Pelodiscus sinensis: one gene and its partners. The protein of the gene in region 3 interacts with the protein of the main gene of each other region in a pairwise test. Links are inferred from orthologs where the notes say so. Each region holds a gene or a part of one and is shown on either strand. Other genes may lie near its edges.

What was found.
Region 1: the proteins of APPL2 (region 3) and RAB5C interact in binary tests that used the Homo sapiens proteins (3 or more experiments, as listed by UniProt). The two-hybrid records come from large-scale screens. The link is inferred for Pelodiscus sinensis from reciprocal best matches to the Homo sapiens genes APPL2 and RAB5C.
Region 2: the proteins of APPL2 (region 3) and SUV39H2 interact in binary tests that used the Homo sapiens proteins (3 or more experiments, as listed by UniProt). The link is inferred for Pelodiscus sinensis from reciprocal best matches to the Homo sapiens genes APPL2 and SUV39H2.
Region 4: the proteins of APPL2 (region 3) and RAB22A interact in binary tests that used the Homo sapiens proteins (3 or more experiments, as listed by UniProt). The two-hybrid records come from large-scale screens. The link is inferred for Pelodiscus sinensis from reciprocal best matches to the Homo sapiens genes APPL2 and RAB22A.

The regions. Positions count from the first base shown.
Region 1 is NC_134739.1:9,305,209-9,312,497, forward strand, and holds the start of RAB5C (ras-related protein Rab-5C), read left to right. Parts: upstream 1-4,273; 5' UTR 4,274-4,431; intron 4,432-7,289. UniProt on the Homo sapiens protein: The small GTPases Rab are key regulators of intracellular membrane trafficking, from the formation of transport vesicles to their fusion with membranes.
Region 2 is NC_134711.1:15,051,527-15,059,483, forward strand, and holds the start of SUV39H2 (histone-lysine N-methyltransferase SUV39H2), read left to right. Parts: upstream 1-4,953; 5' UTR 4,954-5,025; coding exon 5,026-5,167; intron 5,168-5,623; exon of another isoform or gene 5,624-5,707; coding exon of another isoform or gene 5,708-5,747; intron 5,748-6,911; coding exon 6,912-7,057; intron 7,058-7,957. UniProt on the Homo sapiens protein: Histone methyltransferase that specifically trimethylates 'Lys-9' of histone H3 using monomethylated H3 'Lys-9' as substrate.
Region 3 is NC_134711.1:97,457,355-97,464,286, reverse strand, and holds the start of APPL2 (DCC-interacting protein 13-beta), read right to left. Parts: upstream 3,004-6,932; 5' UTR 2,706-3,003; coding exon 2,652-2,705; intron 1-2,651. UniProt on the Homo sapiens protein: Multifunctional adapter protein that binds to various membrane receptors, nuclear factors and signaling proteins to regulate many processes, such as cell proliferation, immune response, endosomal trafficking and cell metabolism.
Region 4 is NC_134728.1:13,254,013-13,261,711, forward strand, and holds the start of RAB22A (ras-related protein Rab-22A), read right to left. Parts: upstream 3,020-7,699; 5' UTR 2,917-3,019; coding exon 2,881-2,916; intron 575-2,880; coding exon 495-574; intron 1-494. Other genes in the region: serine/threonine-protein phosphatase 4 regulatory subunit 1, read left to right, coding at 3,359-3,365, 3,559-3,603. UniProt on the Homo sapiens protein: Plays a role in endocytosis and intracellular protein transport. Mediates trafficking of TF from early endosomes to recycling endosomes. Required for NGF-mediated endocytosis of NTRK1, and subsequent neurite outgrowth.

The DNA of each region.
Region 1 (7,289 bases), on a different chromosome or scaffold from region 3:
CTATTTTTACAGCCACTGCCTCCTGCTGCTTTTGGGGAGGGGCAATGTTGTGCCCCTGCTGCTTGGTACGTGGTACGGTCAATGGCTGGCATAGGAGGGGTTGGAGAGACGGGGGGGGGACAACTCAGTCTGATTCCCAAAATACCTGGCACCCCAAAGCACCTTGCTGAAAGGCCCCCCCCTACCTGGGGCTCCATCTGCTCAGATCCCTTTGCTGCTGCTTTCTGGGATCCTGGGGACCAGTTCAGGCCTTGCCCCTTCCCCCACCCACTTGCCATCACAGCCACTTGCTGTAAGACACTGTAAGATTGTCAGTGTTCGTGCGGAAATACTACGCTGCTCCCGTTCGGGCAAAAGCCCTCGTGTGTAAATGCTTTTGCGCAAGAGGGCCAGTGTAGACAACGCGGTATTGTTGTGCGGATAAAAGCCCCGATGGCGAAAATGGCGATCGGGGCTTTCTTGCACAAAACTGCGTCTAAAGTGCTTTTGCGCAAAAGCACCCGTGCCAATCTAGATGCTCTTTTCCGCAAATGCTTTTAACGGAAAAACTTTTCCGCTAAAAGCATTTGCGGAAAATCATGCCAGTCTAGACGTAGCCGTGTTGTCAGAGGTGCTGTGCCAGCCAGCTACCCTCCCTGGAACAGGGCAATTAACTGGTGGCGCCTTTTCCTGGCAAGCCAGCCTGACTCACGGGCACCAGTCCCCACCTGTCCTAGGCTGCTGGGGCTCAGCCATGGATAGATTGGCCAACCCAGTTTTCTGGCCTAGAGGGGAGTGTGCGTTTCCCCTGCCCCACTGGCTCAGTGGCCCAGCCTGCTCTCCAGCCCGGCATGGGGGGCAGTGGGGTTTATGCTGACAGGCAGCGCCTCCTGTGGCCTTGTCCGCCCTGTGCTCTGCAGCTCTCTACATGCTCCTGGGGGCTTACCCAGCCCGGCTCACTGACTGCGCCCCTTGACTCTGGCAGCTTGGACCCTGTGAGGGGGGGAGGTTTCTCTCCCTGCTCTGCCCCAGCCACACAGGCTAGCCCGTGAAAAATCTCCCTTGGGCCAGAGCTCCCAGGTCTCTGCGAGCAACAAACATCGCTGCTGGCAACACAGGGCGGCCTCTCGGCTCCCTCCCCTAACGAGCCCTCGGGGTGGGTTGCATCACCTGCTCTCCTAAGCTGGGGCTGCCGTGTGACTGCAGGCTGCTGGGCCACACCAAGGGCAGGTCGCTGATCCCATCCTCCGACCCAGCCCACAGTCCCCATTGCTCCATGTGCTTTCCAAGCTGCAGCAGGGCCGGCATTGGGCTGAGTCACAGCAGCTCCCGATGTAACAGACTAGGACCCAGCCTGAACACCCGTAAAGATCCTACAGCCAAGTAGGGCGGAGCCAGCCCATAGCTCTGCCTGCCAAATTTCCTCTTACCAGGCCCCTGTCCTGGCAACCTGCCAGGCCCTGGGTAGCTACAGCTGCCACTTCTGCCCTTTGAACCCCAGAGCCCTCGTCTCCAGGGCATGGCACAGGACTACGCTCTGCTCTCCCGCCCATCAGGCACTGCTGCAGAAACGCCAGGGGCTGCTGTCCGTGAGGACACCCCTACTCGGGGGAATTCCCCTCCACTGCACCACGGTGATGTTCACGTCTTCAGCCCCTTTCTTTCCAATGCTCATTGGCTGCTCTGCACACCCGCCGCTGAAATGCAGCCAGCTCTGGGTGGTTGCGTATGTGTCAGAGGCAGGCCTGAACCCAGGATCTTCTGCTGCCCAGCACAGCCCTCTCCTGCTAGTGCCAGCCTCTGGGAGCTACAGCCCCGCTGGGATGTTGGAGGCAGAACCCTCTCCTAAGCCCTGAGCCACGGCCTGGGTTTGTGGAGGGGCCCTGTCAGCGCGCCGAGGCTGAATTGTGTAGCTGGCATGGGTCAGGTCTACGGTTGTCAGATGGTTGAAACAAAAATACAGAACAAGCCGCCCCCTGCCAAAAAAAAAAAAAACACTGAGAAAAAATTCTGTTGAAGGAAAAAAAAAGGGGGGGGGGAGCCAAAGAGGTTGAGAAAAAAAAAAAAGACTCCAAGGCCATTTTGTGCCAGCAGCCTTGCAGAACCTGGGGCTGGGGTCAGGGAGCTGGGGTGTTGGGAGCCAGGGGGGGCTTGAGGAGGGAGGCAAGTTGCTTCTCAGTTTAAATCTCTGTGGTGATCACAGGGATGGGGCACTGCTAGGGGTTACCAGGTAGTCATTAACAAAAAAACTGGACACGCTTCATAGGAGGAGGGGAGGGAGAAGGACTGGCCAGGCGGGGAGCGGTACTGACTGGGAAGGGTGGGGGGGCCTGGAAACAGCTAACGGGGGGGGGGCAACGGGGCTGGCTGGGGAAAGATGGGGGGGCCAACGGGAAGCAGGGCTGGTCGTGGGGGGGGAGGTTGGGCGGTACGGAGCTGGCCGCGGAATATCAGGGGAGGGGAACTGACCGGGAGGAAGGGGGGGGCGGGAGCTGCGAGGCTGGCCGGGAGGAAGGGGGGGCAGGAGGAAGGGAGGTGGGAAGCACAGCTGGGGAGGGGTCGGGAGCCGTGGGGCTGGCTGGGAGGGAAGCAGAGTTGGCGGGGGCGGGGGTGCAGCGGCGCAGGAAGAAGAACAGGCCAGTGGGAAGCAGAGCTGGGGGGCGGTGCAGGGGGGCTGGCCGGGGAAGATCAGGAGGGGAAGTGGGGGAGGACCGGCCGGCCGGGTAGGGGAGGGGTGAGCAAATCGGCCGGCGGGAGCGGGACTGACCCGGGCACTTGCAGATCCTGGGGCGCTGCCTGTCCCGCGCAGGCTCCCGGCAACGCACGAGCAAGGAGGAGGCTTCCCCCACTCAACCAACGGAGGGCTCTCGGCGGCAATGGTGGCCCCGCTTCCCAACTAGGACGCCCAGCCGCTCCCCCCGCCCTTGCCAGGCTTCTGTCTGGTGCGCAGCCGGAAAAATCAGACAATACCGGACATTGCACGTGTCCAGTATTGTCTGATTTGTTTTACCGGACAGAGCGAGCAAATACCGGACTGTCCGGTACAATACCGGACACCTGGCAACACTAGTCATGTTGGTGGCTGGACTTGGGCAGTTTGCAGCCTCCTGGGTAAGAGGGGATGGGGGCAGCAGAACAGCCTAAAACCACTATACCAGTCCAGCTGTCCTCAGGGCCAGCTCCAGCCGTGGGCACGGGACTGACCGTGTGCAGCAGGGCAGGCTGCGTCCCAAAGCAGACCCGTGGGCCAATGCCTCCACCTCTGTCTCCTCCAGGCCAAGCGCCCCCCCCTCCCCCCCCAGCAGGCTTGGGTGGCCCAGCACCCCTCCCTATCACACCCAGCTCTGGGGTGGCACAGATGATCCCAGCTATCCCAGGGAGCTCCCTGCTGCCACCAGGGGGAAGTCCTGCTGGCCCCCCACCCAGGCAACAGAGTCTTCCTCCTGCTCTCCCTCCCCCCACCTCGCCCCAGGCTCCTCCCTCTGCCCCAGGCTCCACCCCCTCCGTTCTCATCCCCCCCCTCGCTCCCCCCCCGCTACAGGCTCCTCCCTCTGTCCCTGGCTCCTCCTCCCTCCCCCCACCTCGCCCCAGGCTCCTCCCTCTGCCCCAGGCTCCACCCCCTCCGTTCTCATCCCCCCCTCGCCCCCCCCCCCCCGCTACAGGCTCCTCCCTCTGTCCCTGGCTCCTCCTCCCTCCCCCCACCTCGCCCCAGGCTCCTCCCTCTGCCCCAGGCTCAACCCCACCCGCAGGCTCCACCCCCTCCATTCTCATTCCCCCCCCCCCAGGCTCCTCCCTCTGCCCCAGGCTCCACCCCCTCCGTTCTCATTCCCCCGCCCCAGGCTCCTCCCTCTGCCCCAGGCTCCACCCCCTCCGTTCTCATCCCCCCTCGCCCCCCCCACTACAGGCTCCTCCCTCTGTCCCTGGCTCCTCCTCCAGGGAGCACCGAGCCCCCGCCCCAGGCTCCACCCACGCCCCCAGGCTCCTCCCCCTGCCCATCCCCGTTCCAGGCTCCTCCCTCTGCCCCAGGCTCCTCCCCCTCCCCTTACCACCGCCCAGGCTTCTCCCTCCGCTTCCCCCACCCACTTCAAGCTCCGCCCCCTTCCAGGCTCCTCCCCCTGTTTCTTCCCTGCGCACCAAGCTGCGCCCACCGCCCCAGGCGGCACCCTCCCACCTCGAGGCCTACAACTCCCATCGGCCCCCGCGAGTGCGTCACGTGGACCGCCCCGCCGCGCTACGCCCCACTTCCGGCAGCGCGGAGAAGGGCCGGGCTGGGAGGGGCGGGGAGGGAGGAGTGGGCAGGGCTTCGGTGATTGGCGGACGCCGCTGCCTCTGACCCCGCCCGACCGGAGCGGAAGGGGTGGGCGGACCCGGAAACGGAGCAGCTGAAAGGCGGAAGTGGAGGCCGCAGCCTGAGAGCCAGCTGGGGCGGGGGAGAGAGGCGACCCCGGCGCGGTGAGTGGGGCCGGTTCGGAGCGGGGCGTCCTGGGGCGGGGGCTCGGTGCTGCGTGTCCTGCTCCCTGGAGCCGGGGCGGGGGCGCAGTCGGGCGGGGAGGGGCCGCTCAGGGGGGTGTCCTGCCCCTTGGAGCCGGGGGGCAGAGAGGCCCTGTGGGTGGGGGGCGCCCTGAGGTGGGTGCCTTGTGGGTGGGGGGGGCCCTGAGGTGGGGGGGCCCTGTGGTGGGTGCCTTGTGGGTGGGGGGGGCCCTGAGGTGGGGGGGCCCTGTGGTGGGTGCCTTGTGGGTGGGGGGGGCCCTGAGGTGGGGGGTGCCTTGCTTCCTGGGACCAGGGGGTGATCTGGCAAGGAGGCACTGGGCTGGGGGGACTCTGTCCTTGTCTCACATGCTCCCCCTCTTTATTCTTTGCTCTATACGTAAGGTTGTGTTCGGGGGGGGGGGGGGTCTTTTTAAGGGAGCTTTGCCCAGCCACTCTTCAGGGGTCAGCAGAGATCAGCCCTGGCCACACAGTACTGGGCAGTGTTGCCTGTATGCTGGGCACTTGCGTAGCTGCTCAGAGTCAAGTGCTGGCCAGCCAGCTGACTAGCAGAGCTACTGCAGCTAGTATTTTTGTCTGTGTTCTATTGGTAGTGCACCTTTGCACATATCTCAGTGTGCGCAAAACTTATTCTGTATGTGGTTGGGGAAAAAATCTACACCTGGATGGACTGGATTAGAGGGAATGTTGGTATGGAGTAGTTATTCCCTTGGTAACTTGGCTGGGTTCCTTGTTACTTGGCATGTGTGTGTAAATGGGCCTGGAAGCAGCTGAGATCCTGGGCTGTTTACAGGGGTAACCTTCCCTGTTTCCCTGAACACCTGAGACCAGTTTAGGTGGCTGGTGAGAAGTGGGATTAATCTATTGTCCTGTCTTGGATGAGACTCTGTAATCTTGCCCACATTTCCCCCCCCCCCCATGCGTGCACATAAAGCATACCAAGAATGGCATTTGCTGGTAACTCACTTATTACATGAGTAGAAAAGAGAAGCAAACTCATCTTTCCCCCCCCCCCCCCCCCCCCTGCCCCTGGTCATTAATTCTATTGCTTCCCTGGTTATGAACAGTCAATTTCCTAGTAACTTCCCCTTCCCCTGGCTTGTATTGTCACTTGGTAAATGTATGACAATTCATGATTCACTTTGACCCAGCAAACAGACCTCTCTCTCTTGCCCACAATTAGGATCTGGATAACTGGATTGGTTGACTGGGTAATGGTGGCTTTTGTTGCCATAATCACCCTAGCTTTCTGGGCACTGGACAGGTCTAATGGCTGTGGCATAGTGTTTCCAAGGGTTAGGCTTTCTGTTGTCAAATGTAGGTGTACAAGTTGACCATAATATTATGGCTTTATGGTAGTTAGTGTTATTGAGCAGAAAGTTTAAGGCAGAGAATTGTCAAAACTAGGTCTTTGAGAAGTCACCTAGTCTGGACTGAGCTGAGCACTGGTGTGTGAGGTGGGGAGACTTCAACTTCCAATCCCAACTTGGACATAAGCTTGTAATGTGAGCCTTGGAGGAGGGTGTCTTATCTTCTGACATGGGCATGGTATTTGGCTCCAAAGACTGGGGGCTTGTTGCCTAATGTGAAACAATGGAAGTGCAAGGAATAAAGGGTTTAACTGAAGAAAAGATGGTGTCTTAAAATAGATTCCTCTGGTTAGACTCTTGAATAAAAGTGCAAATTTCCCATACAGAGATTTCACTTAGGTCATATGCATGCTTCTATAAAACTAACCTTCTCACTCGCTTCTTGATAGGGCCTGTATGGTAGTGCACTTACTGTGGAAGTGTACAAGATTTTTCAGAGGCACAGAATGCAGGTGCTATCCAACCAAAATGTATGATCCTTATGGACATCAGAGCAATAATATTTACTACTTATTATAATTAGTTTACTTCCTGATTTTAAAAGCAGCATACTTAGAAGCTGCTCACTTAATTTCCCAGTTGGAGTACGGGGATATGGCTCTTCAGGTTTGACTCATAAGGGCTGCCTGAGTTACTAGTTAATAGTTTCTTTATATGTAGGGGAATACCATGCTGTGTCAGGCTTTCTGAATGACTGCCACAATAGCCAGCTGTAACTGTTCTGGTTATTTAAGTGCCATTGTACTGTTTTGTATAGACAAAGTAATTGATTTCTCCTAACTTCTATGACTTGTAGCAAAGGTTAGAGCACTTCTGCTTTTTTTTTTAAGAGCTTGGATTTCTTAGAAAATATCTTGTGGAAATAAACTGCCCAGGGATTTAGGAAACAGGAGCCCAAAGTTAGTTGCCAAAGGGATCCAATATTTGTGTCTATTTTAAGAGTTTCAAGTATCTAGCTTCTAGTGGACTTAAGACCCCAACTTCAGTCTCTCATTTCAGAAAGGGGGGGGGAATGGTCAGAGCTGGTGTTTACAAATTGAATATGTATCAAGTTGAAGGTGGACTTAACACATTTAGAGGTAATACTGCAGTTAAATTGCATGACAGTGGGATCAAATGTAGACCTCATAAATATGCTAAACTGTAACAAATTCAAAGCTGAATGGAGTAGGGATGTAATAGCATAGTTGATTAACCTGTAAGCTTTTGCTTATTGGCTAATGCTGTCCACTACATGCATTTCCCTGCCTGTCAGTAAGTGTTTGCTTTTAAAAAAAAAAAAAAAAAAGACTGGCCAGCAGCCTGTCTCTGTCCTGGTTTGTGATGGGTCCAGGACCTACCCCTGCCATGGTTCTACATCTAAAGTGTATTAGGAGCTGGGTGGGCAGGCAGCCATCTCTGTTTTGGCTCGCACCAGCTCAGAATGCCTAGAATGGAGTACAATTAGGTTTT
Region 2 (7,957 bases), about 82 Mb from region 3:
TCCTCTGAGAGCCTGTTAAAATGCTGGTGGAATAGTACCAATCCTGTGAATCTGGGACAAATAATACTCTCATAAGGGTATTATGAAGACAAAATCAATAAAGATTGTGAGGTACTCAGTACAATCTAAAACTTTTATTTGGTGGCAAAATAAATGCATTTGATCAGTATTCCCTATGATTCTTCTTACCTTCCTAACCATACACACAGACTATAATGGTTAGGCAATCTAAGTGAGTTTGAAATCCTTAGACTCAGACGACTGAAGGTGAAATCCTGGCAAGATTGTCTTGGTCCTGTTTGTGACATACAAAATGTTAATATGAGAGAGACCTTAAAAACTAAGGTCCTGCTAGCTCTCATACCCATGAGATCCCAAGTAATGTAAGGAATGACTGTTGTGTGCTGAATGTGCACTTAGCTGCTATCCTCCCCCTCTAGATATGATTCTGATTCTGGAGTGTATTTATTTTTCTAACAGACAAAGCAAAGATTTCTAATAGCAATAAGATTGACTGGATTATAGGCACGCAATGGTTAATATGCTCTTGTTGTTTGTCAGTAAACAATTGAATTGTTATTGGTTTAGTCTGGCAACTACTAAGTCCCCTTGGGGAAATTCAGCAACAGATCTTATAGATGTGTAGAAGAGAGTACAGAACATGCTGCCCTGGTTTAGTTCCATGTCATCTGTTCATTCCTCACAAAAATGAACAAGCAAGCTGGAGATCAGTGCTGTTGCTAGAATCAATATTCTGAAGTTAACCTGAGTTCTCCAGAATGACCCCAGGACTTGGCAGCACTATTCCTGCTGGCCAGATCAAGGATTGGAAGCCCCCTTTTATTTTTTTTCCCCTGGTAAACAATCTGGACTGCCCATGGGCCTATGGTTGTATACTAGGACAAAAATATTTTTGGGGTGTTGAAAGAGAGCTCAGTGGCAACCAAAGTGTAGGAAGACAGAGTCAGGAAGAAGTAGAAGAACCCAGGAAGGGGACAAAACAAGGAGGGATAGAAGAAAAAATAACTGGACAGAAAACAAATCTGTGGTGACTGGAGAATATGGAAGGAGGAGGAAACAAACAGGTGTGCAGAAGAGTACCTTCCTTAAACTAATAATTGCAAATAATATTAATATGAAATGTCTAGTGTCTTTTCCATACAGTAAATTATCTCAGAAGAGCTAAGCCCTTCATGGGGCCTGCCTGGATGCTGATATTGCCCCCTTGTCCCAAGCAGCAACCTTGTCCTATAAGGATATGCTAAAAATTCATAAGATTGAGATAAGAGATAATAGAGCTGATAAAAAAATTGGTATCGGCAGGGGGAGGGAGAAACCCCAGGGAGCCCCCTATTGCATAGGAGAGCTGAGCAAAGATGGCAGGTGCCCTGCCTCTCTCCCCTAAGTTGCTCCGTCCCTGCTTCTGCCTCCTGGAACTCTGTCGCTCCTCCCTTCTTCACCTGGCCCAGGCCCTGCTGACCAGGAGGGTCTAAACAATAGAAGGGCATAAGGCAATAGCCTTATTAGCCTAATGGTTAATTTGACCGTTAGCTGTTAGACCTAGTCCATCCTGCTGCCAATACAAGTTTGTTTTTTAATGTAAATTTGATAATACATTCAGCTAGTATACATGTTCCAAGTGTTGAGGCTTCTACCACTTCCCTTAGAGCCACAGATCACAAACACATCTACGGATGTGGCTACCCACAGACATAAAGTAGATGGCCGCAGATTTGCAGGGCTCTATGGATAAGGACTCTCTGGTTTAATTGGTTCTAAGAAGAGTGAGATTTCAGTCAGTTCTGAGTGACAATTTAAATATCTTATTGTGACATGCATTACAGTAGCCTTCCTTGTTTTTTTAACCAGCTTTCAGATTAATTCAAAATAGCAAGAGCTGGGAGTTCTATAACATCAGTCTCAGGAATTAGATACATGGCCCATGAGACTATCCCAGTGGTTACCATTTTTCGAGAAAAGGCTCTGTTATTTATCTGCACTCCACATACACATACTTCAGCAAGAATTGATGACTGAGAAGTTTGCTTTCTACAGTACTGCACAATTCAATAGGTACATTTGTATATTACAACCCTCATTCTTTCCATCGAAACTTTTGTTTTAAATAGGAAACGCTTATCTGAAGTCAGGGAAGACTTGTTCTAGCATAAAAAATAGTAAAGAAAAAGAGGATATTTTAGGATCTGTTTTACTAATACTGCTTTAGGTCTGCAGGTATCTGCATCTGTGGATGTGGATGCAGCCTGCAGATGCAAATTTTGTATCTGGAGTCCTGCAAATTTGAGACTATCTGCTTTATATCCACTGGAATCCACATCCACTTCTGTAGATGTGGATATCTGCGACTCATTTTTGTGGATACAGAGGTGGATGCAGGGCTCTACTTATCAGGCAGTTAAATGATCCTGTGACAAATCCAGAAGACACTGATCCTTATCTTCTTATTTTGACCATCTACCAATCTTGGTGACTGGGCATAAGCATTGGTGCAAACAAGTAACAGGAGCTTTGAAGCAAATGTATCTTTTATAGGCTTGCTAATTTTGTAGGGATATATTGCTGGAGATTTCATAATATGACCATCTTTAATTAAAGATTAATCTTTCATTTCTGGGGACAAGGGAAGGAGCTAGATTTTGAAGCTATTTAGGTTCCTGTCTGTATCTTTAGATGCATACATACCTTTAAAAACCTGGTCCAAAGCTTACAGCTTCAACAAGAAAATAAAGCATGTTGCAGACTCTAGAAATGAGGGAACCTGTGACTATTTTTATTTTCTGAAACAGCCAAGCCACCAGTCAATCATTCAAAAGAGTGAAATCAGTCTTATGTTCAAAAGCTTCAGAGGGGTAGGTGAGTTAGTCTGAATCAGGAAAAGCTTAAAAAAAAAAAACAGACTAGTACCGTGGTCACCAACCAGTAGATTGTGAGCTACCGGTAGATCTCAGGGGCTCTAAGAGTAGCTCTTGAGCCCTCTCTGAACTGTGCGCCTGCACAGTACATTTACATTAGATTTCCTCATTTGAGGAGCAGCTACTCACTGAGCAACAACACAGGTGAGTAGCTGCGAGGAATGGTGGGAGCTGGGAGGTCAGGAGGGCTGAAACACACCAGCCAGCTGACTGTGGCTTTCACAGCTGGAGCTAGGCGCAGCCTCCCTGGGCTGAGCTCAGGGCAGCCGGGCTGGAGGGAAGAGAAGCAGCTGCCCGGCCAGCTGGCCATGGCGCTCAGCCAGGGTGCACCACGCTCCACGTGGGCTGGCGCAGAGGAGAAGCTGCCTGGCTTGCTGGCTGTGGCGTTCAGCCCAGAGGAGGCTGAACCGTGCTCCAGCTGATTGGGCGGCTTCCCCTCTGTGCCTGCCCACGTGGAGCTTGGTGGCACCCTGGCTGAGCACCATGGCCAGCTGGCCGGGCAGCCGCTTTTCTTTACTCCAGTCTGGCTGCCCTGCGGTCAGTCCGGAGAGAGCGTGGGTCAGAGGCTTCCCTCCGTGGCTGGTGTAAGGAACTCCTTGCCCCCAACCTTGTTCTCTCTCCTCTGCCCCAAACTTGTCCCCCGCCCTCCTGGCCCCCTGTTCCCTCTCCCTTATCCCCCTGACCCTGCTGCAGAAACCTGCCCCCCCTGCAGAAACTTGTCCCCCGGCACCCTGCCCCCCCCTGCAGAAACCAGTTCCTTCTGGCACCCTGTCCCCTGCTGCAGAACCCACTAGCACCTCTCCCCAGTACTGTGTCCCCTGCTCCCAAATGACTTTTCTATGGGTCAGTGACCCCTGACTCAAGGCAGGTTCCCTGCCATTCTCATAAATAAAGACAATGCAGAAACTTTTTGTGTTTAACATAGTATTTTATTTAAAAATGAAATCTGGCCAACAAACCCCCAATTGGGGCCAAGCCCCCATCTGGCCACAACCACTCCTGCACTCCCCTTTCCCCAGACCCTAGATCTGAGCCTATCAAACACTGGAACCTCATGCCCTCAGCCCCTCACATACCCCAACCCAAATTCCTGCATCCTCACATCCGCAAGCCTGTGGCTTGCTTAGTATCCCAACACTGCCCAGCCTGGAGCCCCCTCCCCGAGCCAGTGTCCCCTTCTCCGCCACCTCCTGCATCCATATTTCCTCCCAGAGTTTGCACCTCTCACCCCTTCCCACACCCAAATCCCTCATTCCCATCCTAGAGACTACACATCCTGTCTCAACACAGCAAGGATCCAGCTAGACTGCAGGAGTTTTTCCGGATTCTGGAGATATCCCGGAAAAACTCTTCTGCATCCAGGGCTGTGTTTGTTCTTCCGCTTTTTTAATGGAAGAGCAAACAGGCTCTTTTGGTCACCCCTATTTTCCTCTTTCCACAAGGAATAAGGTGGCTTCCAAAAGAAGGGTTTTTTTTCTGACATTTGGTCCAGTGTAGACAGGCCAAATGTTGGAAAAATCTCTTCCTACAGAATAATAAATAAATAAATAAATAAGCAGCAGTATAAGGATTGGGGATAGCAAGTGATGGAGAGGAGGAGAATAGAGAGGGTGGGGCTTCAAGGAAAGGGCGGGGCGGTAGATCTTGGCTTGGTCTGTCATTTAAAAAGTGATCTTTGGTGTAAAAAGGTTGGAGACCACTGGACTAGTAGCACCTTAAAAACTAACAAAATGTAGATATCATCATGAGCTTTCATGGGCACAACCCACTTCTTCAGATGACCGGAGTATTAAGTGGGTTACACCCACGAAAGCACATGATCCCATCTACCTGTTTTGTTAGTCTTTAAGATGCTACTAATCTATGGGTTGTTTTTTAAGTTTTTCCCATCAATCTTACGATCATTCCCTCTCTCGGGTAGCTAGCTGCTGGTCCTCCACCTTGCCAGAGGGAGGAGCACAGAGCGAGTAGCCCCAGGCACGCGCTGTCACCTGGCTGCAAGGGGAAGAAAACGCAGCGTTTTGAGTTCAACAAGTCCAGCACTTCCTCTGGGCCGCGGGCAGGCCCAGGCTGCTCGAGGGGGTGGTTTGCCATGGGGGGAGGCAGGTGCTGGGGCTCCGGTGGGCCGATCCAGAAGGGAAGCAGCCAGGATCCCTTTCTCCCCAAGCCGGCTGAGCGCGGATCCGGAGCGCAGCGCCAGCCCGCCCGGAAAGACGCGGCCCTACCAGCTGCAGGTAAGGCTGCCGGTGGGGTCCCTGCAAGGAGGCGGGGGGGGGGTCCCCCACCTCGCAAGGGAAAATGCTGGCGCGGGCACAGCGGGGGGCGACTCTTCCGCGGCCTCCCAGCGGACCGGCTGCCTGCAGATTCAGCGGGGTGGGGAGACGGGCACGCTCCGCCCGGGGCGCCCCCGAGAGAAAGGGGGAGCGCGGGGTGCCCGCACCGGCCGCTCGCTGCTGGGGGCTGTTGAGTTTGCTCTCACCGCAGCGTAGCGCCTCGCGCGGGACAAGCACCCCCCCCCCCCGGCGCGTAGGATGCTGAGGGGGGCTCGCGCCGAAGGGTGGGTGCGCGTGGGAGCCGCGCGGCTGCTCTGTGGGTAGGAGGGGCGCGAGCTGGGGGAGGAGGGGCTCCCTGCCCACGTGACAGGGCCCCCAGCCCAGGCCGCGGGCGGGGAAAGGGGGTAGCCTCGGGGGCAGTGTGCTTACCCGGGAAAGGGGCGGGGCCTGCCCGGCGTGGGCGGGGCCTGCAGCCGGCGGCCCGGGTGCCACAGGCTTGGAATGCGCTCGGCCCCCTGCAAGATGGCGGGCTGGCGAGGAGGTGAGGGGTCGGGGATGCTCCCTCACGGGACCGAGGCGGGCGGGGGGCCGCTCCCCCCCTCGGGCGCCTCAGGGACAGGGGCTGTGCGGTGCCCGTCCACGGCAGGGCCCCGGGGTCTGCGGGGAGAAGGGGGCTCTGCGGTGCCGGGTCCAGCATGGGGGGGGGGGAGGCGGCGTGCAGTGTGGGGGAGGGGGAGAGGGACAATGTGCCGTGCCTGGAGGGGGGGGGGGCACTGTCCCATGCCTGCGGGAGGCTTTTGGCGGGAGAGGTTGCTAGGCGAGTCTGGAATTTAAGAAAGAGTCCCCCAGCCTGGGAAGCCTCCAATGCCTCTCCTCCCCCTTTCCTTTTCAGTGGCGATGGGCTCATTGCAGCTTTGGTTGGGACACAAGTGACCAATCCGCTACTAACGCAGAGGAAGAAATTCAGCTACTGTCAAATACACCCTGACTCTTACTAAAGCAGGAAAAAAAAAATATAACCCTGTTGTTTTGGGCTCCAGACTTTTGACTTGCTATTAACTTTGGACGGTCGCTCCTAACAGAGTTCTGAACTGTTGTAATCATTGTTCCGTAGTTGGCATCCTTTCCTCTTTAGAACAGTTACATTGTCGATTGTAACCTTCCTAAATTTGGCCCAGTTGACAAGAAAGCAGAGATCTTTCTGGAAGAGGGATTTGCCTCGTGTCTCATCCCAGTCACCATGGTTGCATAGCAAGTACAAGAGTGTTGATTCCACTTGACTAACTGCAGCTAGTTGGCTCCCATGTAAAAGAGTGAAGGGCTTCTACATAATTGCAGTCAGAAGCATGAACTTTTGCTAGGGTGCCTTAAGGTCAGGAAAATTATTTCTGTTTTGTTTACTGAGATTCTTTTTGTATGAATAATTAGTAGGTTGTAGGTAGATTTTTTTATTATATGAGTGTACATAGTATATGCAGAGCTCAAGTTCAGGCAGAGAACTGTTATAGACTTCATTCTATATTAAAACGGAGTATCATTGATTCTATCTGCGACTGCTACGCTAGTAATTTTACAAATATATTGTGGACAATTCTTACACATTACAATTGGGGGGCTCGGAAACAGACTAAAAATCAAGTATTTAATTTTTTTTCAACTCAGCTGAAACATTAAATTAGTAAAGAATCCTATTTTCTTATTGTAGTGTGGTATGTGCCTTGTCTAGCTTCACTTGAGACCATCCAGGAATTATGTAGGAAGGAAAATCTCACATGTAAATCCCTTGGAATCACCAACAGGAATCTAAAGAGTTATGAGGTGGAATATTTATGTGACTACAAGGTAGACGAGGTAAGATAAATGTCTAGTTTTACAGAACAATTTGATCAGTATTTCAGTTGGAAATTTGGAAGTAAGAGGTGGTAGTTTTCCTCAAAGTCTAAAGTGCTAGGCTAGCATAGGGCTTTTGTTAAGTTACTGCTGACATTGAATAAAATACTTTGGAATGTTGAAGCCTAAATAAAGTATTCTTTGGCTCTGACTGTAAGAAAGGGAAGGTTCTGCGTATAGTAAAGCACAAAATGTCTGACCCCAGTGCCAAAGCAAAGTTTACTGTGCTTAAATAATAGCTCGGTGTGCATTGATGCTTCTCTTCCCCTTGTTTGCGGTTAAAAGGACACTTCTTCCTCTATAGTACTGCAGTCTGTTCGTTGAATAGCTACGGCCACATGTTGCAATTGGATCCATGACCAGATCCCCATTAGGTGCCATGTGTATGCAGAAGCTGATCAGTGTGTGTGCCTGGTTTAAAGATTTGTCCTTATTGCTCAATTCCCTTGGGGAAAAAAAACCCCTCCTTTCAAAATAATTACATTTTACAATACATAGTCTTTGTAGTAAATATAGCATTAAGAAGTGTTTTTGATTGTATTATTCCTCTAGGCTGACTCAAATAACGATTACAAATAATACTATTAGAGGTTTTTTGGTCAAACTTTAGATTTTCTTTTTGTTCTGTGTAGGGTGTTATTTTATACTGTTTCCATCAGTGGCAATGCTAACAAACTGATCCATGCTAATATTATTTACGTGTTCTGAGTCATTATACAGCCTATAGTTATCCATGTCCTTACAAATGGTGCACAAAGTACATACGTTGCATTTGAAAGGCTTGATTCTCTATTGTTAGCTAAATTCACAGCTGCATGGTCATATGTGGTTTTATTTCTCCATCATAAAGAGGGTGATAAG
Region 3 (6,932 bases):
CACCTCCTAAACAGTAAAAATTTGGTATGCAACTTCCTCTTATCATAACTTAAAGCCAGGATTTGGTTGTGCCAGGACAATGGGCGTGTGTGGAATGTGATCGTTTCCCATCAAATGGAAAGAGATTGGCTGCTACCTCGCTCAAGGCTAACCCTGGGGAGAGGCCACTGTCCAGGTTGTGCTCCCACCCCCCCGTCCCGGGCTGACCTGGAGAGAAGCCACCAGATACTCTGGGTTGGCCCCCCTCTTGCCACCCCAGGGAGAAGCCAGTGGCCGCCCCTGCCCTGAGACCCCCTTGTACTCTCCCATACCTCCTAAGCCTCTTTCCTGACTCCTGCATCCCTACTGCCTCCATGAGCCTCCACACACTCCCTGTTCTGAGCCCCTCCTTATCCCCAACTCTGAGTGCTGTACCCCCCAGACCTCTGCCCCAAGCCCCTCCTCACATCCTGACTCCTGCACCTCCACATGCACACCCAGCCTTCTGCCCTGAGCCCCCCACATCTCCAAGCCCCTGCCGTCACTCCTGCACCTCCCACATCTCCAAACCTCTGCCATGAGTCCATCCATAAGGACTCGAGCAATGCCAGGTCACTTTGTTAGTTAAGTAATAAATCTTCAGTAAACGCGAAAAATTTATACAAATTGAAAATAAATCTAGTGTAGTTCAGTAAATTGTAGGGTGCCCCTGGATGAAAAGGAAGGAGAGTGTGATTCCTCCCAGGACTGATTTCCTTCCTCCTGCTGGTTCAGAACCAGTCAATTTAGAGGTGGCAGAATGGCATTGCAGAGTTTCAGTAGGTTCACCCTCCCAAGACTACTGCTTCTCCTTGCTATGGATCTAGGATTTGACTTCTCCTAATTCTGGCTCACCCCTGTTCTTCTTTCTTCCCTCCCTCAGTGTCACTCTCTTTCTTCATCTTGCCTCCACACATGTACATCCTCTTCCTACAAATGCCCCTCTTCCCATCCCTTGGCAAAGCCCCTCTCTGACTGCTGTTTCCCAGACCTTTCCCTTTTTTCCCCTGTGCCTGTAGCATCTCCGTTTTCCCCAATGTTCTGCTTCCCACTCTTTTTGCCTGCTTTGTTCCTCCCCATACAACTCTCAGGGCCCCTTCCTTCATGTCCATCTCTCCCCCTGACCATAAATACAGGTCATCTGCCAGCCTCTCCTCTGTGTGGAGCATTCCCCGGGTCCATGGTTCACTTTTCCAATAGAGATACAGCACTGACTGCCCCAGCATAGTTTGGTCTAGGGCATTGTAGACAGAAAGGGCTCTCATCTAATACAAGGAAATTCTTGGAGATGGAAGTGGAAGAGGGCACTAACAGTCTGGATTTAGTGATATGAATCCATTCGCAAATTTGTCCCTAAAACCGAGGAACATCCCTGATTTCAGGGATTGCCCTGGTGTCCTTCTCAGTTGTATAAAGTTCAGTATTTTGTCCCAGTATTATCGCAGTCTCTCACAAGTCTAGTCAGTAGAGCTAGGGCAATGGTTCTTGTCCAGGGGTAGGTGTACTTCTGCGGATACACAGAAGTCTTTCACAGGTACATCAACAAATCTAGGTATTCACCTAATTTTACAACAGGCTAAATAAAAAATTCTAGCAAAGTCAGTACAACCTAAAATTTCATACAATGACTTGTTTATACTGCTCTAAGTACTATACACTGAAATGTGAGTACAATATTTATATTCCAATTAATTTAGGTTATAATTATATGGTAACGCGAAAGTGAGCAATTTTTTGTGCTAGCCTTCTGCGACACTTTTGAATGTTTATGTCTTATTTTGTAAGCAAGTAGTTTTAAATGAGGTGAAAGTTGTAAGACAAATCCAACTCCTGAAAGGAGCACAGCAGTCTGGAAAGGTTGAGAATCACTGAGCTAGGGAATGTGACAGCAGGCTGGCAAACTGCACATACACCTCGAGCACCTGCACAGGTAAGACACATCAAAGGCTGACGCTTTGCCCTCCCCACATGGAATGCGAAAGGGAGTGGACAGTTTGACAGACAAGAGAGGGCACCCTTGTCTCAATCCTCCTTGGTGCCAACCTCTCCCAGACTGTCTATGAAACTCTCCCCTTCTCTCCTGCCCCACTGTGACAAGTGACCTATTTTCTCCACTTTGAGACTCTGCTCTGCCTATTCCTGGGGCGGCTACTTCCCCAGCCCACAGCAAAAGGATACTCTTCACCTAAGCCAATGAAAACCACTTAACTCATCCCTACCGTGCCTCAGTTTCCCAAAGTGTAAAACGGTGGCATACTCGCCCACCTCTCTCATGCGCCCTGATGGGCAGATGAAACCCGCTGCAGAAGCTCAAGGTACCACCGCACTAACCTACGTGTTACTGGGCAGTGACGAGAAGCTGAGCAAGGGTATCACCAGCTTGGATTGTGCCCCTGGGGAGGCTGGAGGTTTAACCCTTCCCACCCCTCTTGTGTCGCGGAGCCCTGCTAAATCCCGCGTTGCCTCCCCTCAGCTGGAAATGCAGGTGCGTCACGGGGATGAGCCCTGCGAAGCACGAGGGGGGCTGCTAGGGTATCCCCGCGGCGCGAGTGAAAACCTTGCTGGGCACGGGCCCGGGAACCGGGGCGCAGCACCGGGGACTCCCCGGAGCCGCCGGAAGCCGGGCACGGTACCTGCGGGCTGTCTTGCAAAGCCTCTTCCAGCAGGAGCTTGTCCACAGCGGGCATGTTGGAAAACCCCCGCCCCGCCGCCGCTGCTGCTGCAGGACGGCCTGGCCCGTGCGGCTGGGCTGCTGCGGAGCGCTGGGGCTTGTGCGCCCTCGCCGCGCGCGGAGGAGGCAGGGAGGGAGGCTGCCGTGCGCTGGAGCCAGGTAAACACCGCAGCAGCGCCGCCCAGTTCCTCGGGCCGAAAGGAAGCGAGTCACGAGGAAGAGCGACAGCCGGGCAGAGCCCCTCGCAGGAAGTGTGGCTGCTGCTGGTTTCCTGCCCGCCTGCCTTAACTCTTTGCAGAGCGGCGCGGCGCTTGCGAAACTCTCTCCCAGCCTCCCCAAGCCCGGCGGGAGGGAGACTCGAGCGAGTGGCCAAGAGGAGGGACCCCACCCGGGGCAATGATTCACAGGACGCTTAAAAAGCTGGGGTGTGTCTTACATGACGTTGCTTCTTTCGTCTGCCCTCTCCGCCTCCGGCGGGAAGCATTTGCGACAAGAAACGTGAGGGGATGCAAAGCGGAGCGAAATGCGGGCACATGCTGAGTTCTTCATCCCAGACAAACCAGAACACATTTTTGAACCTGGAGTATTTGAAAATGTACGTGGGTTGTCTACATTCCACATTTGAACGTTCCATAAACCGTGGAGGTGGACAAGGCTAAAGGTGCTGAACAGTTGTATTTCTCATTGGGCCAAGCTGTTTCCAGATCAGTAACTGAGGCATTCAGAATCAGCAGCCTCTTTAAAAAGGCCTCTTCGTCACTACATGCATCTGACGAAGTGGGTCTTTGCCCACGAAAGCTTATGCTCCTACACTGCAGTTAGTCTATAAGGTGCCACAGGACTCCTCGCCGCTTTCTGTAAAAAGAATGGCCTTAGAGTTAGAGTCTAGGGGAACTATATACATTGATCAAACAGAAAACATCAAGGAAGGTAAAAATTGCATCTAAAATGATATGGCTCTATCCCCACAGAGAAGTTTCCACCCTCTTCATGTAGTTATGGTGTAACTCACTTTTTTAAAGTACATCCAGGGTGGAAATTTCAAAACTGCTTAGATTTGGCCTAACTTTACTCATGTCAATCTTAATGTCCACTTGTTGCATCTAAATCCCTTTTAATTTTTCTGCTTTGTTTTTTCTTAAAACATTGTAGGCACCTTAAAATGCAAACAAGATAACTGCTAAAATATAAGCAGGTGCCATATGGAAAATTTTGTAAATCGGCTGAAAAATGGTTAACGTTAACCGAGTTTGACAGAGAGTCATCAGGAACAGTACTTCTGGCTGAGTTATATCCCCTTGGAATTTATGTTGATCTGATGTTAAATGGTATTGCTTCTGAAGCTTGTGATATGGTTCTTTAAACCAGTGTTTCTGAAAGTGTACCATGACCACGGAGCCTTGCGGCTCCCATTGGCTCCGTTTCGTCCTTTGCAGCCAACGGGAGCCGCGGGAAGTGGTGTAGGCTGGGCCACCACTTCCCGCGGCTCCTCTTGGGTGCAAAGAATGAAACAGCCAATGAGACCTGCACGACTCCATGGCCATGGCGTCAGTTCATAAACAAACCGGGGCAGCCAGTTAAAGTGTTTCTGAAAATGTTTCTGCGGTACACTTTCAGAAACATTGCTTTAAACCAATGTGCCAAATCTGCCTTGGCATGCCTTTGTTCTGCCAGCACTGAAGTTGGACTCTCTGTTCCAGTTCTTTAATTAAAATCAACAAACTGGATTGTCTTGTTGGCTTCACTTTGCCTGCCTCAGGAAAGAGTCCTGCACAGCAAAGATAGTCAACTAGTCTTTCACAAATATCGAGTATAAGAGGCTGAGTCAACACATTCCCATCAGGAGAAAGCAAAAAGAACAGGGGTTTAAATATTAATTGTGTTACAGAGATCATACAGATGGTGTAGTAACTTGTGAACAAAACTTCTTTGCAGAAGACAGAAATATTAAATAAGGTGTTAATTGGATATTAAGCTTAGGAATCCATGAGCACTTCTGAATCTGTCATGCTATCCTGTGATAGAGTCTGTCTCCATTTATCTTGGAGTCTTGGCTTTTTTTCTTTTTCTTACAACCTTTTTAAAAGGTCATTTGAAACCCAAACTCCATGGTATGACAGAGGAGCCAGACCTCTTAAATTAGGTTCAGGATATTTGTGGATGATTTCTTAACTGTGTCTTGCAGGCCACTTTCTTCCTCCAGTAATTGCCCACTTCTTTTTCCTCATGATTTTGCATATGGTGGAGTGATTAAACAACAAAGTATTCTGAAATACTTTCCACAGCAAACTAACACCTGTGGTTTTGCATCCCATCTGCTATGCAATCAAGAGCACAACCTTTGAGGGCTCACCTGTTTTTCTTGGTGGCTTTGTTTAGTTAATGATTCAAGTTTGGAAACCTATAATCATATTTTCAGCACGGCACCACACCTGGTTGGTCTGACTGGTTTTGCTAGTTCTATGCAAAGAGGACCCAAAGTATTTAGGATGTGCATAACTGTGGGTAGCAAAGTTCATCCAACTTAATGAATGGAGTAGCTTCACCTTAAGCTGTAGTAAAGGTTAAAGTAAATATTTTCACGTAAAAAATAAAAACTGCAAAATAATAGCAAAAGTAGAACCTTTTTCGTCAGAAAGACCTAAATTGTTGAGACTAGTGATTTTGGTGTCTTAATATTTGCGTGCTCAACTCAAGTCACTTTAAAGTCTTCTGTCTTTCTGAGGATGCTCAGTGCTTTTGAAAATCAAAACCCCTCAATATTTAAGCTGCAGAGCTCTGACCGTGGTTGACATAAACTTAAAAGCACCATAAAGGAAAGTTACACAATCATTCAAAGCTGCTGTAGCAGTCGCAAACTCGCTGTGAATTATATTTAAGTGTCTCAAGTTGAGCCCCCAAAATTGAGACATCCAAATTCACCTGTCTGCCCCAAAGAGCTTAAATTGGCCTATTGGATCACACCAGTGGTTCATCTATTCCAATATCCTGTTTCTGAAGAGGCCACTACCAAATATTTCAGAGGAGAATGTAAGTGTCTAAATAATAACAAGTTAGGAGGGAATGGTGTATGCACAGAGGAATTTAGACAGTTAGCTTAGTCCCTAAAGCATGAGAGTTTGTCACTCTTAATATTTTCTTTTATGAAATGGGTGGAGTTTCTTTTGCCCACATAAACGTCTAATGCTTTTTTAAATTCTGTTAAACACTTTCAATCAATGGCATACTGTTGCGATGAGTTCCATAGTTAACAATGTTTAAAACATAGAATTCCTTGTATTATTTTTTATTTTGCTTCCTTTCAATTTAATTGAATGTTATCTTGTTTTTATATAATGAGACGGGGTAAGCGGAGTGCTTATTAACCTTCTCATTGTTTTGTGTACTTCTTACATGCAAGAACAACAAGAAGTCCTGTGGCACGTTATAGACTAACAGATTTATTGGAGCATAAGCTTTCATAGGTAAAGACCCACTTCATCAGATGCATGTAGTGGAAATTCCAGAGGCAGATATAAATATACAGGCATAAGAAAAGAGTTCCAATCAAGAGTAAGGTTAGAGATAACGAGGTCAATTCAGTCAGGGAGGATGAGGCCCACTTCTAGCAGCTGATGTGGAGATGTGAATACCAAGAGAGGAGAAACTGCTTTTGTAGTTGGCTAGTTGGCTAGCCATTCATAGTCTTTGTTGAATCCTAAATTGATAGTATCAAATTTGCAGATGAATTGTAGCTTTGCAGTTTCTCTTTGAAGTCTGTTTTAAAAAATTTTTGTTGCAGGATGGCTACTTTTAAATCTGCTACTGTGTGTCCAGGGAGATTGAAGTGTTCTCCTACAGGTTTTTGTGTATTGCTGTTCCTGATATCTGACTTGTGTCCGTTTATTCTTTTATGTAGGGACTGTCCAGCCACACCATCACAGGACCTAACCACATCAGCCACACCATTACAGACTCATTCACCTGCACATCTACCAATGTAATATATGCAATCATGTGCCAGCAATGCCCCTTTGCCATATACACTGGCCAAACTGGACAGTCCCTACGTAAAACTATAAAACTCATAAATTGAAGTTGAAGGGTTTTTTCTCGAAATGACCCCACGGGGACCATGTTTGTTTTCTCGAAAGACGCTATTTCAGAAAAGCGGCGGTCTGCGATTATGCAAATGAAGCACGGGAAATTCAAATCCGTGCTTCATTTGCAATTTCACTCAGCTGCATTTGCATTCCTCTCTCAA
Region 4 (7,699 bases), on a different chromosome or scaffold from region 3:
TTTAGCCACTTTACCCAACTTCTCTTACTCTGTATAAAGTATGTTTACACTCGCGGCTTCTTGCGCGAGTAATATGCAAATGAGGCTAAGCGTGGAATATCGCCAAGCTTCATTTGCATACCTAATGAGCCACTTTTTTTTTCAGAACAGGCTCTTGTGCAAGAAGGAGCGTGTACACTGCCCCTTCTTGCACAAGAAAAATCCTCTTGCGCAATGCCGTTACACCTATTAGTTTTCAGGAAGAACGGCATTGCGCAAGAGGGTTTTCCTTGCACAAGAAGGGGCAGTGTAGATGCTCCTTCTTGAGCAAGAGCCTCTTCTGAAAAAAAATGGTGGCTCATTAGGTATGCAAATGAGGCTCTGCAATATTCCACGCTTAGCCTCATTTGCATATTACTCACCCAAGAAGCCGCGAGTGTAGACATAGCCTTAGAGATTAAAGGATATTGTTCCTCTAGCTTTGTTATAATTCAAATAAATTGTATACGTCTTACCCTATGGTCGGGTTGATGTTAGGGTCAAAGCTGTCTTCTACAAATCGCCACACAATACTTGATTTGCCTACACCAGTGTCCTGGAAAAAAAAAAAAAAAAAAAAAAAAAAAAAGAAAGAAGCGGTTACACCAGAGAGAATTTGGCCACAATAAACACTTGGGCATGTATAGACAGCAATCCTGCAACAAGTTCCTTATGGAAAGAATGAGCCCAGTTCCCTTAAAGAACATCACTAAAGTCAACAGGGGTCCAGATAAGTGGAACTTCTTTTAGGATCAGGGTCTTAATAACAACAAATATTTCAGTGCAGAAAAATTGAAAAATATAAAGGGCCACAAAATAATTATGTTGAAAATAGGAGGTAGCTCTGTAAAAGATACAGTCTTCCAAAACCGATACTTTCATAATTTTGTATAAGATAACAAAAAGTTATAATGTCTGTCTCTTGAAACAGAATTAGGGATGTTTGTCCAGGGGAAAAAGAGCTGCTGCTTCAACTGTTAAAGTGTACATGTGTAGCTGAATAAAGTAATTAATACATACAGGCAGAGCAAGGGTGTCACACTATTGCAAGCATTAGAAATATTTCAGCCTCTGAGTCATTGAGTCTCACCCTATTTAATGAAAGACCTTAAACATCTTCTGTGACATACCTGAAACGAATATATTTTTTATCTCACAGCTGCAGATGGAGCAAAGGAGGAGGAAAACTACTTCAAAAGGTGACAAACCAAGGTTTAAAATAGTTCCAAGCACCCTCAGAAATTGAATACCAGGTTGTGTGTGCATTGAGTAATAACTGGGACAGCTCAAGCTTTAAAGAAACAAAAGGCATGCTTCAAGTTGCATCTTCTTGCAGCACTAAGTTAAGATGTCTGATTGCTCACATGCCTTTTAAACACATTTCAGATGGCAATGTAGTTAACATAGCTGAACTACTTTAAAATCTTCAGCTTACAGAATCAAGTAATGTACACCCCCAAATTTAACCTTTTGAGAAAGATAGATAGTTTACCAAACCTAATGTTGAGAAATGTTTGACTATAACAAACATAGGTTTGATCTGAGGAAGTGGGTCTGGCCCACGAAAGCTCATCATCTAATAAACCATCTTGTTAGTCTTTAAAGTGCTACATCGTCCTGCATTTTGCTTTGACTATAACAAGCTTGCTTTCATTTAAACATTTTTGCAGTGTTTGCAGTCGGGATTACAGTATTAATTAGTACAAAATGTAAAGGTTCAGAAGGGTAGCCGAGTTAGTCTGTAACTGGAAAAACGACAAATAGTCTAGCAGCACCTTAAAGACTAATAAAACATATAGATAAGCTTTCATGGGTACAACCCACTTCTTCAGAAAAAGAGATAAGTTTGTACTGATCCTCTTGAGGGTTCTCTTTTTGGGAGAGGAGAAGGGAATTAAAAAAATACTAAAATATGTGACAAAAATAGTGTATTTAACAGGCAACAATACAAGTTACAAAGAAGAGAAAGGGGGAATGCAAGTAAATAAGTTTCCGAGATGAGGTGTTTAGAAGGGGAAGTGTCTCTTCCTCCTGCTTCTCCCACTCCACAAAGATTTCACAGGTAAAGTTTGATGTAAACAAAGGATAACCTATTTAGTAAGCAATAATGCAAACTACACCCTGACCCCCAATACCAGATATAAAAAGACTATATACACATTTTCCAGGGAGAAGATACATGATTATTTAGAACCAGGAAACACATGGTTTGACCTGTCAAATTCCGTTCAAGTACAGTGAATCCAGGAAAAGCTTCAATTGACTTCAGCTGGATTTGGTTTCTACACAAGCTATAAAGTCAGACCCACGTTTGTTTTTAAGTCTTCATCCATTATCTAGTGTTTGGGGAGCGATTTTGATGCCTGAAAAATGGCACTACGGGTCTGATATCCAGCTACATAAGTGCCAGAGCTAAATATTACCCACATGATCAAAGCCTTAGGCAGCGTAAGAAGTGTATGGGAGCAGAGCAATTTCAACACAGGATCATTTTTAATAGAAGCGCCTTGGAAAAAAAAAAAGGGCTGTGTTTCAGCGTGTCTCAAACACAGACAACGAACATTCTTCCTAGCCAGAAAGGCTTTGCTAGCTGCTCTGGCGTCTCAGGGACAGATGCTACCGAAATCAACACACTGGAAAAGATCAAAAATAACCTCCCTCCACGGGAGAACACCTTTAGAGCCCTCCCCTCGCCTGTAAGGGCTCTCACGACCAAATCCCTCCAGCAGGCAGGCAGGCAGGCAGAGAAATCCCCCCTCCCCGTCCTTGCCTCCTGTTCATCAAGACCACCGGGGGGAGGGAGGACTCTCCAGCAGACACCCCTTCCCTTTCAGCCCAGGTACACCCAGGAAGGTCACTTACCCCCAGCAAGCAAACTTTCAGCTCCCTCAGAGCCATGGCCAGGGAGGCTGTTGCCTTAAAGAGAACCAGAGGCGCAGCTCAGCACCACCATAGCCCCACCCTGAGCACACCCGCCGAGGAGGCCTCCCGGGCAGCGAGCTCTCCAGAGGAGACAAAGACGGCCGGCCAACTCCCCTCCAGGCACAGCTTACAGGTAGCCGCCTCTTCTCAGGCGCCACACACCAGACGCCATCTTGGGCAGCCCATTGGAGTCACCTGACCACCCCCCCTTCCTTCAGGGGCACACTTTTTGCAAGGCTGTAATTTTTCTAGGTCCCCCGAGGGCAGCTGAGCGCCTAGGGGGGCAGCTGTCCCCCCCCCCCCGGGCAGCATTTTGTATTACATTGGGAGTGTGGGGGGTAAGGGTTCAGCCGGGGTCAGGCAGCGCAGACGGCTCCGCCCTCTGCCCCCCTCCCCGGGTTCCCATGTCCATTCCAAGATGGCTGGTAAGCGGCTCTCGCTCCTCTCCGTCCTGCTCCGTGTGGGGGTGTGCGTGTGTGTTGGGGTGCGCGGGGGGCCGAGGCCAAAGCGCCCTGTCCGCTCGTGCGTGGCTCTGTCGTGCTCTGTCTCGCCGCTCTCCAGCGAGCCGTGTGAAACCAACCCCCCGTGTCTCTCTCTCTCTCTTGTTTTTGTTTGTAGGGATCCCTTTGTATTTTGTGGATTTGCAGGATGACTTAGATGATTGTGAGTAACTGTTTTTACTTTTTTGTTTTGACTTGTGCTCCTGTGTGCATTCCCTCCCCCCCCCCCCTCCCGTCTTCCTCCCCACACCTTCTCCCACATGAGGGTCAAAGAAAGAGACCTGTGAGCCTCATTTTATGCTAGGTGAAAGATCAGAGAGGGCTTTGGGTTACCCCCTTCCCCAAATGATGGCTCTGAATTTTCAAAATGCTGCTGGTAGAGTGGAGACTCTAATGGGGTAAATTTGGGGCTTTAAGCTAAATTTTTGGGACCCCCTCATCCTACCCAACAGTTGTGATTTGATTGTTTTTAAAATGACCCAGTAAAACCCTTAATGTAAGAAGGGAAAGAGGTTGGTGGCTCCACATACATGTCTTTATAAAACGATAGGTTGTTTTTATTTTAAATATCTTCCTAAACCATACAGCAGACAGCTGAGGGTATAGAAGGGAGAGAACTAACCCTAAAGGAAGAAGGCCTGTCATAATTGGATTTGCAGGATGGAGACCTGCATAATGAGGAAAAAGGGGACAAGTTGTTTCAGAACTGTCATAAACTATGATACTTTGAGGGATGTTTCCACATTTTAAAATTAATTCTTGCATCTCTAATTGTAATCCCAAATGTCAATCATTCATCATACACGGAAGATACAAGGTATTTCCTGCTTAGCAAAAAGACTAGCACACCACATAGTTGGATGATGCAGAAATAATACTTTTAAAAACTGATGGGTATAATTGGCAGTGGAGGAACCTACAGTCAGGTCTGTGTTTATAAAGTTGAGAAAGTGGGCAATGTAATATTTTTACTGGACCATGTTGGTGTGAGAGAAAAGCTTTTCTTCATGTCAGGTTTATAAAGTTGGTGTTCTGTTGCTTGCGAAGGACATTTCTAGTGGTTGGCCTAAGACAAGGACTTCTTGTTGTGATAATCTGAATGAGTGAGATTTTTAAATGATGAATTGAAACACACACCACAACAGTTTTTTTGAAAAGGTGGTTATTTGTTTTGTGTATCTTTTGCATTGTGGAGTTACAGAGATATGGAATAAGACAACACTTTCTGTGATCTAGCCTCATAGTTTCAAGGGCTTGTGAAGGATTTTAGGGGATTCATCTTCAACCTGTTAAAACTCTTTGCCTGAACCTGTTGTCTACACATTTTCTCAGTCCTACTGAGGTCTGTCTTGTCTAATTGATGTTGAAGATCTCATACATTCTCTCTTTAGCATCTTCCTCCGTGACTTTTTTTAAAAATATGATTGCATGACCTTCCAGAACTGCCACTGATTTGTTTGGATGGAAACTTTAAAGATGGATTAATTTGGAGTCTGCTTTTAAAAACCTTTTCTCTAATAATGGCAAATTTTTATGGAAGGCTTCAATGTGACATTTAAAATCTCCCTCCAAATTGTTTGCAACTCCCCACCCCAGATCCTTGTGCCTATATAAAAGCATTGTTGAAGGATTGGAGTCTCAGGTCCCAATCTAGCAAAGGGATGTGCATATCAGAAACTCCATTGAACTCAATAAAAAAACTCACAGACTTAAAGTTGAGGATATATATGTCTTGAGGACATTTATGTTTAGTGGCTTGAGGGCCACAGAGTCCTAAAATGTGTTTATATTGCAATAAAACACAGTGGTAGGATTGTTAGCTAATTCAGATTTAGGGAAAAGGGTGCTCAGGCAGCAGGGTTATAAAATTGCAGTGTAGATAATATTTGGGTTGGGCTGGAGTCCTGGCTCTAGGGATCCCAGTGAGGTACTAATTGGCATTTTGGATGACAATTTGTGTTTATCATTTGAAAATAATTGTGAATGTTTTTGAAGTTGTTGCTTGTGATGGACCAGTTCTATGTTGCTGCTTTAGACAATCCTGATTTTTTGAGGGAAGAGGAAGAAAGGAAATGGTGGTTCAGAAACTGGAGTATAAAAGTTGAATAAAAAGTAGTTGAAAATTATATGGCATCACCCTTTAAAGTGTTGAAATTTGGGAGGTCTGGTTTTTCAGGCTTATGCTTGCGTTTCCTACTTTAGTTCATACATTTATCTCTGGGATATTGGTTTTAAAGACATTGCTTGCTTAACTCTGTGTCATGACCTCAAACAACACCAAGTACTTTTGTTGAGCAGGGGATTTAAATAGGGAGCAGACTGGCTAATACACTTGTGTATACCCACACTTGATTTGAAAGAAGCTTCAAAGTTCAGTACATCCCACCTTTAAATTCATTAATAACAAGGGGAGCCAAAGCAGCTGGATCTGCAGTATAAACTCATTAGTAGAATTGAAAATCTGTTCTGTTTTGCTTTTCTCTGCCAAATTTTTAAAAAGTAAACCCTTATAATCCAATACGAAAACAGTTTAGTTTGCTTCTTGCCAGCTAATTCTTTCCCTTCTCCCCCCTTCAATTGAAAAAAATGAAAGATGCCACCTGAACTCTTCTATTTTCCGTACAAGCATGTTACAAACAATAGTCCAAATCTCCCACAGTGTCCAGCCAATGTGCCTTGACTGACTTGGAGGGGACCATCTGTAGGGGTGAGACGGCAGTATATTCTCCATGGCCAGTCAGTCCTTGGCTTTTTTGCCAATGCTATCAACAAAAGTGTAATTTGTCCTGGTAACTTGACTAAAATAGATTTATGATTGTAAGCCAGCCTTCTGGCTTTTGGAGGAAGGGGATGAAACCCAAGTTTTTCTGGGGATTTTTTTATCATTTTACAATTTTGAATTTAGAGTAGTGATCTAATAATGGGAAAAAGTGTGCTTTGTATATGTCTGTTTTACATCAATTTGTATGTCTCAATATCAACAGATCTAATGCAGCATGTTGATTTATCGTTACTGTGGCATGGACAGAGAGAGAAAAAAGTCTGACTTGAAGTGTTGTTAATGACACCTGTTTTGTTTTGAACTACTGTACTACATCTTGAACTAAAAATATAGAATATGAACTGTTCCTAGTCACTGTGAAAGAACATCTAGAATTACGATGGAAAATCTGAGAGCTCAGTGTGCATGGTCTTGACAGGTTTTTTTTATTATTATTATTACAAAATGTCCCAGTCTAGATCAGGGCTGTGATTAACCTGAAAGCGTATGTCTACATCACAATTGGGAGCTTTCTTTACACTGCAGGTAGAGGGGACTTTGCTGGAGGTACTGTGCTAAAAATAGCATGGTAGAACAGGTGGAGGCTTGGCCATCTGCTTATGAACCTGCTCAACCCTCTTGGTATGTACTTGTATGGCTAGCCTGAGCTACTGCCTTTGCCCCTATGACCACTGCTATTTTTAGCTCAGTGGTTTGAGCAGAGCTAGCGGGTGTTTATCTGCATTGGAAAACATGCTCTGAGCTGCAGTGTGGACACACACCAAGGAAAAAGATATAGGACATTTTTAAGCAACTCATTGAAGTAAATAACTAAAACTAGATCCAAGATGTCTGAAGGAAAGAAAGCATTAAATAATGGAGATATTCATGTAATATGATACAATTAATTTTATTAAAATAATCAAACAAAAGAGCTAGATGAGATCCTCGGAGTTATGGAAGGGGAAATATATCCTCAACCCAGGGGAGCTGAATGAGAAACTAATTGTGGGTAATGTGATATTGCACTTGAATAAATATTGAGGGTCAAACCAATCTGACTCTTTAATTCTCCACTGCAAAAGCTGTCAAACCTGTATACAGTTCTTTAAGAAGATTAATAAAATAGTAAATAAATCTTATTCTGTGGGGTGTTTTTTTAAAATTCCTTTTGTAAGACTATGGGAAATTATGGTTAAGAAATTATTATTTATGGTGGATTTAAAAACTGAGTAGGTGGATTTAAAAACTGAGTAGTCTCCTACTTTTGGGAGACTAATACCCACAGGGGTAAGTATTGGTGTTAATATATTTATTAGTGATTGGGTGCAGGAAATGGACAAAGAGATGGTGGCATTTGCTGATGTCATTAAATTGTCTGAATATTAATACCTATGTCAGGCTATGAAATTTAAGTACCTTTGGGACTGGGTCATACGATATATTAAATTCAATTTCAATAGTGCACCTTTGGCTACACTAGTTAAATTTCTTATAC